Linked DNA regions of Sus scrofa. The protein of the gene in region 1 interacts with the protein of each later gene in a pairwise test. Links are inferred from orthologs where the notes say so. Each region holds a gene or a part of one and is shown on either strand. Other genes may lie near its edges.

Evidence for each region.
Region 2: the proteins of SLC15A4 (region 1) and GLP1R interact in a protein complementation assay, tested with the Homo sapiens proteins (2 studies listed by BioGRID). The link is inferred for Sus scrofa from reciprocal best matches to the Homo sapiens genes SLC15A4 and GLP1R.

Annotation. Positions count from the first base shown.
Region 1 is NC_010456.5:26,145,512-26,151,362, reverse strand, and holds part of SLC15A4 (solute carrier family 15 member 4), read right to left. Parts: intron 4,348-5,851; coding exon 4,192-4,347; intron 3,269-4,191; coding exon 3,110-3,268; intron 1-3,109. UniProt on the Homo sapiens protein: Proton-coupled amino-acid transporter that mediates the transmembrane transport of L-histidine and some di- and tripeptides from inside the lysosome to the cytosol, and plays a key role in innate immune response.
Region 2 is NC_010449.5:34,531,093-34,536,482, reverse strand, and holds the end of GLP1R (glucagon-like peptide 1 receptor precursor), read right to left. Parts: intron 2,297-5,390; coding exon 2,129-2,296; 3' UTR 2,127-2,128; downstream 1-2,126.

The DNA.
Region 1 (5,851 bases):
AAGCTGGTGTCTTCTAGAGGGGAAAGCTGAACTTCAAAAGCATCTCCAGTTTATTTAAAACACCAGACTTCCTTTCCTGACAGTCTCCGTCAAGCTGGGTAACTCCAGAACTTCCTTCTCCTATATGAACATATGTACTCATTAGGATCAGATGTTTAACACTGCTTTGATTAATAAACAGAATACAATACACATGTTTGTATAATAAGTACTCACATGTCTCTCAAGAATTCTCACTCATTCGGGCTGTAGAAGACAATGATTTATATGGAAGAGATCCAGTTACACCTAGAATTTCCTACCAGAGTGGCTTACTTACTCAACAGATATTTATAAAATAATGGTTTGGCCCTTACTACATGCAGGGCTCTGCCCTGGACACAGGACCCCCTTCCTCCTCCGACTCCCCAATGGAGCTTGGTTCACTGGCGCTGCTGCAGTGCTGGTGGTGTTGGTGCCACGACGACAAGGCTGTTGTCAAAGCATAAATCATGCCATTCTACATGCCAACTCTGATGTGAGTCTCTCAGAATTAGAGAGTCATTTAAAACTTCCAAAGCGTAAAGCCAGCAGCCACACGACCGTATGCTGTGCTTTCCTTGCAGGCAGAGAAATGCACACTGCCCCTTGCCAGGGTGTCCTAGTTTGGGGTTAGGAGGGCACTCAGAATGGGCCCACCACCTAAAAGCGATCAATCACCCATACTTTCTTGGGCGTCTCCACAGACAGAAGGTACTTACACATGAAGACGGTAAACATTGGTTTTTTTCTACCCGAGTGAGACAGACACCGGGCCCCAAGACACAAGCACACGAGTCCACCAACATGTCCCAGAACATGCCCAGCTGCTTTATTCCCAAGCCTCAAACTGGAGACACCACAAACACCACCCACCGCAGTGCAGGTGAATGAGGGTTAGTTGTACAGGGACACTCCACAGAAGTCACATAGACCCAATCGCAGGGGAGACCCCGACAAGTGCTGAGGGAAAGGAGACCACAGCAGAGGACGAGATGCAGAAGGATCACTGAGCCGACTGCAGAACAGCTCATCTTGTGGGGGCCTGGGGGCTAAGAAAGGACCCAGGACACCTTCCCAATAGTTCTGTGTTTGGATCTGAATTAAGGAGACTGGCTGTGCACTAAGGTCAGTGCCCTTCATAGCAGGGCTGTGACCGCCAATCTAAATAAACAATCACAAAGCTGGGGAAAGGGGGAAACAATGAGGAGAATCTGGGTGCCTTTCCCTTTGGGGCTCTCCTGGAGCCTGACACACGTCCATCAGCTCCTCCTCCGCCTCCTCTACTGCAGCGAAACCAGGGCCTGGTGGGGGCAAGGCTGGCAGGAGCTCAGAACAGAGAAGCCATGGGGTCTGGGGTCAGAGTGGCAGCTCCTTCTACACAAGCAAGGACTCTGTGTGGGGGGAGCACCTGGTCCCATTCTCTTCCCAGATCCACCAGCCCCTAAACAGAGGGAGCAGACCCGCCATGTCCTCCTGCACCATGTCTTCATCTCATACCCAGGACACACGAGCTGGCAGGTAGGAGACTCACACGGCCCTCACTGCTGTGGCGAGGAGGCGACACCAGCATCCGGATAGGCAGCTGATCCAGAACACACAGCCAACAGAGAGTTCCCTTCTCACGAAAATAAGGTCAACAGTCAGAGTCCAGGTCCACATCTGTACATGCACCGGACACAGAAGTACCAAAAAGTGTAAAAACTGCCCATCAAAACTAAAGGACGCATGACAGGGAATCTACGAGTTACTGAGCCAGTCATGAGGGGTTACATCACTGGAAAGCAGAGAATGACAAAAGCCAATCAGTCCTTTATGATACATACATTTGCAAGTACAGCATAAACAAAGAAACAGAACCTGAGTCTTAAGAACTGCAAGGGCTTGGTCTCTGTAACAAGCCTCTCTCTGAAGGAGGTCTGTCCTGTACAGATAATGTGACACCAGGACCTCTGTGGAACCGGACATTACCCTCCAGGGGGCGGGGACAAGCAAAGCCCAGATCTGCTGCCCCCTCACCACAATGGCGAGGCTGCCCTACCACTTGCCCACACACCACTCACCCACACGGCTGGACCACAGCCTGACAGTGCCTGAGGCGGATCCTGGAAGTTACACAAGGACTCTATCTAAAGGCCTAAGCTCCACGCAGGACAGGAATTTCACCTGCATCATGGGGAGGCTTTTGGATTTCTGCCATTTCTGAGAAATGTCTAAGCTTTCATCAGAATGTTCAAAGGGATTTTCACCTGCAAGTGGCTTTCAGGGGATAGCAAATGTCACAGGACTGCACATCAAAAGCAACATGGTGGTTTTCACTGGTAAAATATACAAAGAAACTTCCATGTCCTGGGCCTGTTTAAAGGTATCCTAAATCTGCAAACCGCAGAGCTCTCATCTCCTGAGTGGTTTTGTTCAAGATGCCACCTACTGGTATCAGCTGTAAAATTCCACTCTGATCCATGGTGAGTAACATTTGCTTTTAAAAAGGCAGCTCATGGAGTTCCTGCCATGGCTCAGTGGTTAACGAATCCAACTATGAACCATGAGGTTTCGGGCCTTGGCCAGTGGGTTAAGGATCTGGCGTTGCCACGAGCTGTGTGTAGGTTGCAGACATGGCTCAGATCCCACATTGCTGTGGCCGGTGGCTACAGCTCTGATTCGATCCCTAGCCTGGGAACCTCCATATGCTGCGGGAGCGGCCCTAGAAATGGCAAAAAGACAAAAAAAAAAGTAAAAATAAATAAAAAAATAAAAAGGCAGCTTATTATCTATTTCTATGTAACAGAAAACTAAAAGGTACTGACAGGAGAATGAAAGGAAAAAAAAAAAAGAAACCACTTACGAAAAGGTAAATGAAAGGAAATACATATATAGATGTCCTTCACCTCATAAACATAGTGTTGGGCAGGAAGGTGGAGTCTGTTCACCAAACACACTCCGAGGAAACAGCAGCAGCAAAGCTGACCAGGTGTGGCCGAGGCTGAGGGCAGCTCCCAGTTCAGCCTGGTGACACCCAGCACACCCCACCCAGGTGTCCGCAGCCGGGGCCCCCGGCCCTGCTTATTTTCCAGGGGTGGGGGGCACTTACCAAAGTCCGTGTGGCTGCTCATCCACCCTATGGCCTTGAGGGACACCAGCGCCAGCAGCCCTGAGCCCACAAACGATCCAACACCAGAGAAGAAGAAGAACAGGCCCATGATGGCACTCTGCATGGACTTGGGGGCAGCCGAGTATGCAAATTCCAGGCCTGGAAAAGGAAAGCAGAGCATGGGGGTGGGGGGTGGGGGGCTCAGCCCCACCTGCTGAGGCCAGCACCCAGGGCCCTGCAGAATCTCTGGGGCAAGTCACTTCCAGCCCTCACACTGAAAGCAGCTGACTGTCGGAAAAAAAGAGGCAGGAGCAGCAAAAGCCCTCTAGTTCTCAGCTAACAGGAATCTGCAAACAAAGTGCTGTACTGCAGCAGGGAGAGCACTTAGGAACCCCGTCTTAGTGCCTCGCAGCGGCATCGGGAGCTCCGTGCATGAACTCAGTCATTGGTGAAATAACCAGACACGGAGATCTGTTCTACATGAAAGGCCATCCTGTTGATTTATTCCCTCCTCAAATGCGTCAGCCAACTTTGCATGGGTTCTGTGGGAGGTGGGGGGAGTTTGCATCACTGCCCACAGCCCGGTGGCTCCTGGTTATCACTCATTTTCTCCTCCCCTCACTCCCGGGAGCTGGACACAGGCCTGCACAGAATTTGCTTGTCCACAGGGCAGCACAGGGCCTCACGGAGAGGCAAGAGAGGCCTGTGCCAACATGTTTTAACATTAGGTTTGCTCCTTATAAATCTGAAGGCGAGAGCCGGGCTGTGCGGACACCCCGAGGCCTGGCTGCCTCACAGACTGCAGGGCCTGGTAGGAAGCGTCAGACCCAGCCCACCCCGTGGGCTCTTTCTTCTTCTTTCCTCTCCTGTGGAACTTCTACAGTAGTAGAGGAATTCCATGCTGACGTTTCTACTCCAAGAAAGGAACTCTCTGACCAGTTCAGACCCTGAACCACAGCGGCCCACCCAGAGCCGCTAAGTGCTGTGCTGCGCTGTCTTGACACAGCATCATGGAAGGGAATAGCACGGCCTTTACTACGCTGTGACGGGCCTGGGCTCAGATGCCCTGACAGGACCTGTACCTGAGATGCTCGCGAATATTTCACTGATGCCGATCAGCACGTACTGGGGCACCTGCCACCAGATGGGCAAGTCGGCCGCGTAGTAAACAACATTTCCAATGGTCTGGTTAATGGTTTTCTCCTTCACGAGGTCCAGTCTTTTGCTTTCCAAAATTCCTGAAATTCATAAGTAGGTCAGTAGAGCGTTTATTCATTAACATTCGCAATTAAACTAAAAAAGGAGATGCTTGGCACAAGGCATTTATTGATCATTCCGAGAAATACACAAAAGAATAATGGCCAATGGCCCAGCTTCCCCAAAGCCCCGACCTGAGGCACTTCCCCACTTCCAGCTCCATAAGGAGATGATTAAAAAGCAGGGGTCACTTCACACATGTTTCAGGGGGGCATTCTGCAGTGCCGTATAACAGGTGTTCAACACTTTAACATAATCCTCAAATATCTGAACTGCTCACCTAGACTCCTTTTGCTTCCTCTAAAATGAGGAGCAGGGGAAAGCTAAACAGCCCTGCAATAAAAAGATTAATCATGCTATTTACTTACCAGAAGTTAATACATTTTGAGATGCTTTTCCCTTCATGGGAACAGATTTAAGCTGATACACTGATTTATTATCATTACTATTACAACTACCATTGCTGCTAAGAATGCTGGCTTCCTTGGGTGGGCAGGCTTAACCTTATCAGCAAAGTACAGTAGCTCCCCCCCTTATCTGCGGGGGATATGTTCCCAGACCCCCAGTGGGTACCTGAAGCCAAGGATAGTACTGGTCCCTATAGACCCTATGCCTGTTCCTGCACACACGCTTCTGATAAAGTTTAATTTATAAGTCAGGCACAGTAAGAGATTAACAACAGTAACTAGTAATAGAAGAGAACTATAACAACATACTGTAATAAAGGTTATGTGAGTGTGGTCTCTAATATCTTACATCTAGTATCTTACATTAGATTGCGGTTAACCATGGGGTCGCCGAAACCATGGAAAGCAAACCAGAGATAAGGGATTGACTGTAAACCAGACCTCACAAACCACCTTCTGCTCTCAGCAGTGCCAAGATCTCACTGAATTATTGGTCATCTGTCACACAGGACAGAAGGACATGGCAAAATAGGCAAGATCGGAAACAGCTACTCTCTACAAAACAAAAAATAAGCAAATCAAAACAGAGTCTAAAACAATTTATAGGACCATGTCGTTAGGGTAAAGATGTCAATATGTTTTGTTTTTAAAGAATTATAATTGCCAATGAAATAATGGACCCTAATAGCTAACACACACACACACACACCTGTGTGTGTATGTGTTTAAGACATTATGAGAAGGACATGAGTCTGGGTAGAGGACAATGGAATATATATATTAAATATATTTCTTTTAAAACCTGAGTATGAAAAAGGACCCAGTAATGACTGACAGGGTAAAGGATAAATTCTATAATCTATACCCCAAAGCACATCTCAAATGAAATGTACAAACAGAGAAAATACAGCAAAGGACCAAGGTAGAGACCTCCTGGCTCATTTCCATGGGATAAACTGTATCTCCTCCCTGGGGGTGGGCCGAGGGGACCCAGCCTCACCCACTGTCCTCCGACTACAGAGGCTCGTAGACCCCAGTGTGCAGAGGAGTCCACGCAGAGACCCTGGCAGCTCTGGAA
Region 2 (5,390 bases), on another chromosome or scaffold:
AGGAATCTGTGCCAGCTGGGGAAAGAACTTAAGAGTATAAACCAAATTGTCTGAGCTTCCCAAGTGCCTACCTAAACCCTTCCTCCCCACAGTTCTTCCTCTCAATGATTTATTTCTTGCAGATAATATTGGTCACTCTCTTTCTTTGCTGCTGTATAGTGTATTAATGATTCTCAAAAATCTCCCTGTTTATCCAAGATGGAAACACTTGCACCAGAGCTGTATCCCCCCAACCACCCCATTGGCATTCTTCTCTCCCCCCTCCCCCCCACCCACTCCAAAGAGAAAAACAAATGCATGATGCCTATTGGGATGCCTTATTTTGAGGAGGCAGGAGTGTTTCCCCTCCCCACCTCTCTGCACTTCCTCAGTCAAGGAGGCCGTCTGCACAATCCCCTTCTTTAGCCTGAGGTTCAACTTCCCTATTAACAGAGACACAACACTTCACTGAAGCTGAAGTAAAAGAAATTTTCTGCTTGATGTGTTTTATATCCCATTATGATTTTGCCTGCACATCACATGCCTCTCTGAGGGGCAGAGGAGAATGTGTCTGGCACAAGGCTTTGAGGGAGGGTCCCCCCACTACTCAAAAACCAGAAGGGAAGACAAGATCCATTCATAAGGGGATTCACCCAAAGACTCCTGCTCTGCCCTCCAAAGAGTTCTCTCCTGCTCTGGAAACTTCCTCTACATCCAGGAACTCAACTGTGAGCCTCCAGCTCTTCCCCCTTTGTCTGGGTCTCTGCAGGGGGGCTGTGTGTCTGCCTTTCCACCGTGACTGTGGCAGGATTGATGGGTTTTCCCTGTCTAGCTTCTCAGATGCTCATTAGTTATGGGCCGAGACTGGAGGCAGGTCGTACATTAAATAGCTCAAAGTATGGATGAGTCAAATCAATAACTACCCCACTCCCTCCAACAGCATCCTGGCCACCACCATGATTTGGTGCTTACTTCCATTGGATGGGAGAGAGCGGAATCGCACATTTGCACATACAGAGCATTTGCCACAGTAAAGACCGATGAATAAAGTATATACAAGCTCTCAAGTAGGGGGATTGGCAAGGGAAAAAAACCAAGGGCTGGGGAAACCGACTCCATGGTGACAGTGGGAGCGGGGATTCCTGGAAGAGGCTCTTCTTGGTCACAGGCCCTAAAGCTAGAGGGCGCACCCAAACTCCCGCAAGACGCATTGTCTGATCACGAATGAAAAGCCTTTCCATTGAGAGGTGGGGGCCATCTCTCCTGACCCTTTGGGTTGCCAACAGTATTATGTAATCTACACGCCCAATGTAGACATTCCTAGAGTCCCCTAGGTGAGCCCTAGAAGACTCTCAAGCTCCTCTAGGATAGAAATCAGAGCTCATTCCCCAGGCTGGGCTCCGTGGAAGTGGGCCTGCCCTGGTTCCCTGGGCGTGGTGGGAGCAGGCCCCAAAGCAACCCCAATACCAGGGAAGTGGGTTCCAGAAAAGAAAACCTTCAGGCACCTTCTCAATGTTCATTTTCAACACCACCCCCAGCCATTTCTAGAAAGCCCCGCCCCTCAAAGACAAGCTGGGTGGTGGGATGCGGGGACCAGATGGGGGAAACATGCGACCTGGACGTGTGTCCAGCGTCCCTTCCTGAGGAGGCCAACAGGTGGTGACCCCGACCGGGGGCAGGCGCTGTTGGCTCACTGCCCAAGCTCCAGGTTTGGCTGAGGTGAAGTCTGCCCCTTTCAGAACCACATCCGCTTGCAAGCACCCAGCCCGCTAATAAGCCATTGACCTTGAGTTTGAGTCTAGGGCTGATTTGCTGCTCTGTCTGGGGGAACCCCAGGGGCCTTGTGGCTTAACAGGAAGAAATCCTCCTCATTTTAGCAGCAATTTTTTTTCCCTCTCTTCCCGCCACAGTGATTAAATTAACAGGCTGCTTCTCCTCGGAGAAAATGTGTCCACGGTTCCCAGGAGGCACTGCCCATTTGCCCGTCTGATGGGTGTGGGAGGGGAAAGCAGTGAAGTGGGGAAGTTTGCGTGTGCGCCTGTGTCACTCCCCACCCCACCCCACTGCCCCCATCCCCGGGAGGGTCTCTCCCACCTGCGGTGGCTGCCCAGCCAGCAGCGAGACCACGAGGAGGGCAGGTGCCAGAGTCTTAGCTGCAGGAGGCCTGGCAGGATGCTGAGTACACACTGCTGCCCACCGTGGCCCCGCAGCTCAGGCTGCTGGTGGGACACTTGAAGGGCTTCATGCTGCTGTCCCTCTGGATGTGCAGGTGCTCCAGCCGCCAGCGCTCCCAGCTCTTCCGAAACTCCATCTGGACCTTCCGTGGGAAAAGGAGGGAAGCAAGAGCCGTCATGCAAACCAACTGCCTACAGAACGGCCCCGTTATTACATTAGGAGGGCAGGGGAAAAATCCGCTGCCTTATATTCAGAGACACAAGTCAAGGCCTTCAGGCGCCTAAATTAATATCCCAATAAAATTGTTTCTTGTTGTCTCCTATCTTCTGCCTCTTCTCGGGAGAGAGATGGGCTTGATGATCTAATTGGTCTCTTCCATCTCTATATTCTGTGACTCAGCTAAGTACCTTTTACGATCCATCACAGTATTATTATTTAATGGAAGAGAATGAGTGACAGAGAGATACGGGGAGACGGGAGAGAGAAGAAATGAGGAGAGAATCTGACTTCAGAGCCCTCTCCCTGCTTCCCTGTGGACCGAGCACACCCCAACTCCTCATGGTGCGCCAACGAGACCTTTCTGAACTCCCCAGGGGCTTTTACCCCGGCCCCGGTGCCTCTTGCGTGAGGAAGCAAAAGGGCTGGGACTAGTAGCACCAGTGAGGAAGGGGCTGTGGACAAGGGCTTTTCTGCCTGGATTAGACTTAAGTCCATCCAGGACCTGGTCCCCACTCACAGAGGATGCGGCCCAGGTGAATTCAGCCAAGAATCCCTGCTGTGCTGGGCTCAGCCCGTCCCTCCAGGAAAAGCCTTCTGGAGAGGGCTGATGCTCGGAGACCAGGTTGCTGGGGCAGAAAGACAAGTGACCGCAGAGCCCCAGTCACTGGAGAGCTCATGGCAGTGCCAGGGCTCCTTGTGACAGCCCATGACTCTGGTTCCCCAGACGGGCTGCTGGCATCTGCACAGCCAGCCCAGGGCATCTTTCCATACATTTGCTTTTCAGAGCTTCTTTGACGCCTCTCACCCTTGTCCCAGGCCTCCCCATGCCAGGACGCCTGGGCCTGAGCTCCCCCTCTCAGGCCCCAGCCCCCAGCAGCTGTGGGTAGGCGGCTCACTGCCAATGCCCCGTCAGTCCCTGTGCAAACATCCCTCTCCTCCCCCTGCAGGACTGCCATCCATCTAGCCAAGCCCAGTGAGATGCCTGGCGTGGCTGCATGCCATGCCTTAAAAGAACTTTTTCAGCTTCTCAGTGAAGCTGAGACGGCCCAGAGCCTGCCTATGGGATGGCCCCAGTATCCCGGACAGAATCATGGGGATCAGGCTTGGATACGGGAGGGAGGCCAAGCAGACAGCAGCCCTGGCTCCCTGCTCTGTGCCAGCTTACAACCCCAGGGAGCCCATGTGGTGTGTGTGTGCTGACAGCTGGGCTGAGGACAGACGCCTGAGGCAGTGGTGGCCTCTGCTTGTGCAGCAGCAGGAAGGCCAGCCCTTAACTGGGGAGGTGGGGAGGGAGACGGTCAGCTGAGGCACGTCCGTGGGAAGCTACCTCAGGGCCATGGAGGTCTCCTGGATGCAGCAGGAAATCAGACAGGACGGGGACCTGCCTCCAAGGTCCTCTGGCCGGGCACCAGGCCAGGCTCTGGGATTTGGGGGGAGCTGGTAAAGCTCATTCACCTGCACTGACACTTGGGCAGAGAAGCGGTGATCACCCCGGTCACACAGCCAGGTAGAAGCGGAACTGGAACCAGCACTCAGGCTCCTGAGTCTCAAGGGCCACGGCAAAGCCACCCCCAGGCCTTCCCCACCCTGCGCCCCCTCCCCTCCCACTGGCAGCTGGTGCAGATCTTGGCGGCCACGCAGGACCAATGCTAGGGTCAAAAGTACCTGGCATCACCATGGCAACCCTGGGTCTGGAGAATGGCGCCCATGGACAGAGATCTCAGGCCCAGGAGCCACACTGTTTTTGTGGCCCAGTGATGGTGACATGTGCCTGGAGGAGCCAGGGCAGTGCGTCTAAACAAGGACTTCTGAGCGGGGTCTCCTGGACCCCATGGCACAAGCCTAGGAGAGCCCTCGGCGGGAGGCCAGCTGGGGATCTGGTGATTCTCATACTTCAACATCTGCCCGGGAGGTTTTTCATGAGGACTCAGACGCTGGGGAGAATCAGGGCCACACATCCCGCTGCCTCTGCTGGTCCAGAGAGCACAGGATGAGGCCCGAGTGTCCTCTACACTCACCTACCCTCCTTCCTGGCCCCACCCAACGCTGAGCCTGGGGAGCCCCTGAGACCCACCCGTGGGAACAGCCAGACCCACTTATAAGTCACCCTTTAATCGGTGCTGCCCTCTCATCCCTGCCCAGCGGGCCTGAGGCATTAGTGAGGCCCCCTCCCCTGGCCTAGCAGCTCCACTGCCTTCTAGCTGTGGAACTGGGACTGTTCATGTCACTTTGCTGAGCCTTAGTTTTCTCATCTGTAGAATGGAGATAATCCTGCCACCAGGATTGGAGGCAATAAGACACTTGGGCACATTATACACCGGCAGCACCTGGGAAAGGTCACTTCCTCTCCCTTTCAGAGATCGGAAGGCCACAGGCTCCAAGCTGATCCTTCCATAGGAGGCCAGTTCAGGGGGCTGGGGAGCCTCAGGGACAGACAGGGGCGCACTCCGCCTCCCTGTCACCAGGCCCCCTTTTGTCTCTGCAGCGTCCTGTGCAGTGTCCAGGCTCTGGGAGTGGCTGAATACTGGGATGATGGCTACATAACCGCTTCTGCTTCTGGAGCGTCTGAGAGGTGGTGGGGGCACGTTTCTTCATGCCAGGCAGCACTGAGCGGGGCTGGGTGAGCCTCAGCGCCTGCCTCGAAGGACGGCTGTGCTCGGCTCTCCCTGCCCACCTCTTCCAGGCTCCACCTCACTTAACCCTCAAGAACCGCGGAGGTAGGCATTGTTACCCACACTTCGTAGACAGAGAAACTGAGATTCAGAGTGGGTTTTCGACCTGTCCAGCATCACACACACAGCTCATTAAGTGATGGGGCGAAATACAAATCTGACTGTATTTTGAATGTGCTGACTCTAAGATCGCTGAGCTTAAACTGTCTCATCTGTAAAATGGGGCTTAACATCTGCTCCACAGGATTGGATATATAATTAAACACTTGAGCCCGTGGGCACTCAGCCAGCACTCAGGCAACGTTGTTTTCCTCCCTTTTATTTTTTATTGCTTTGTCTTATGTC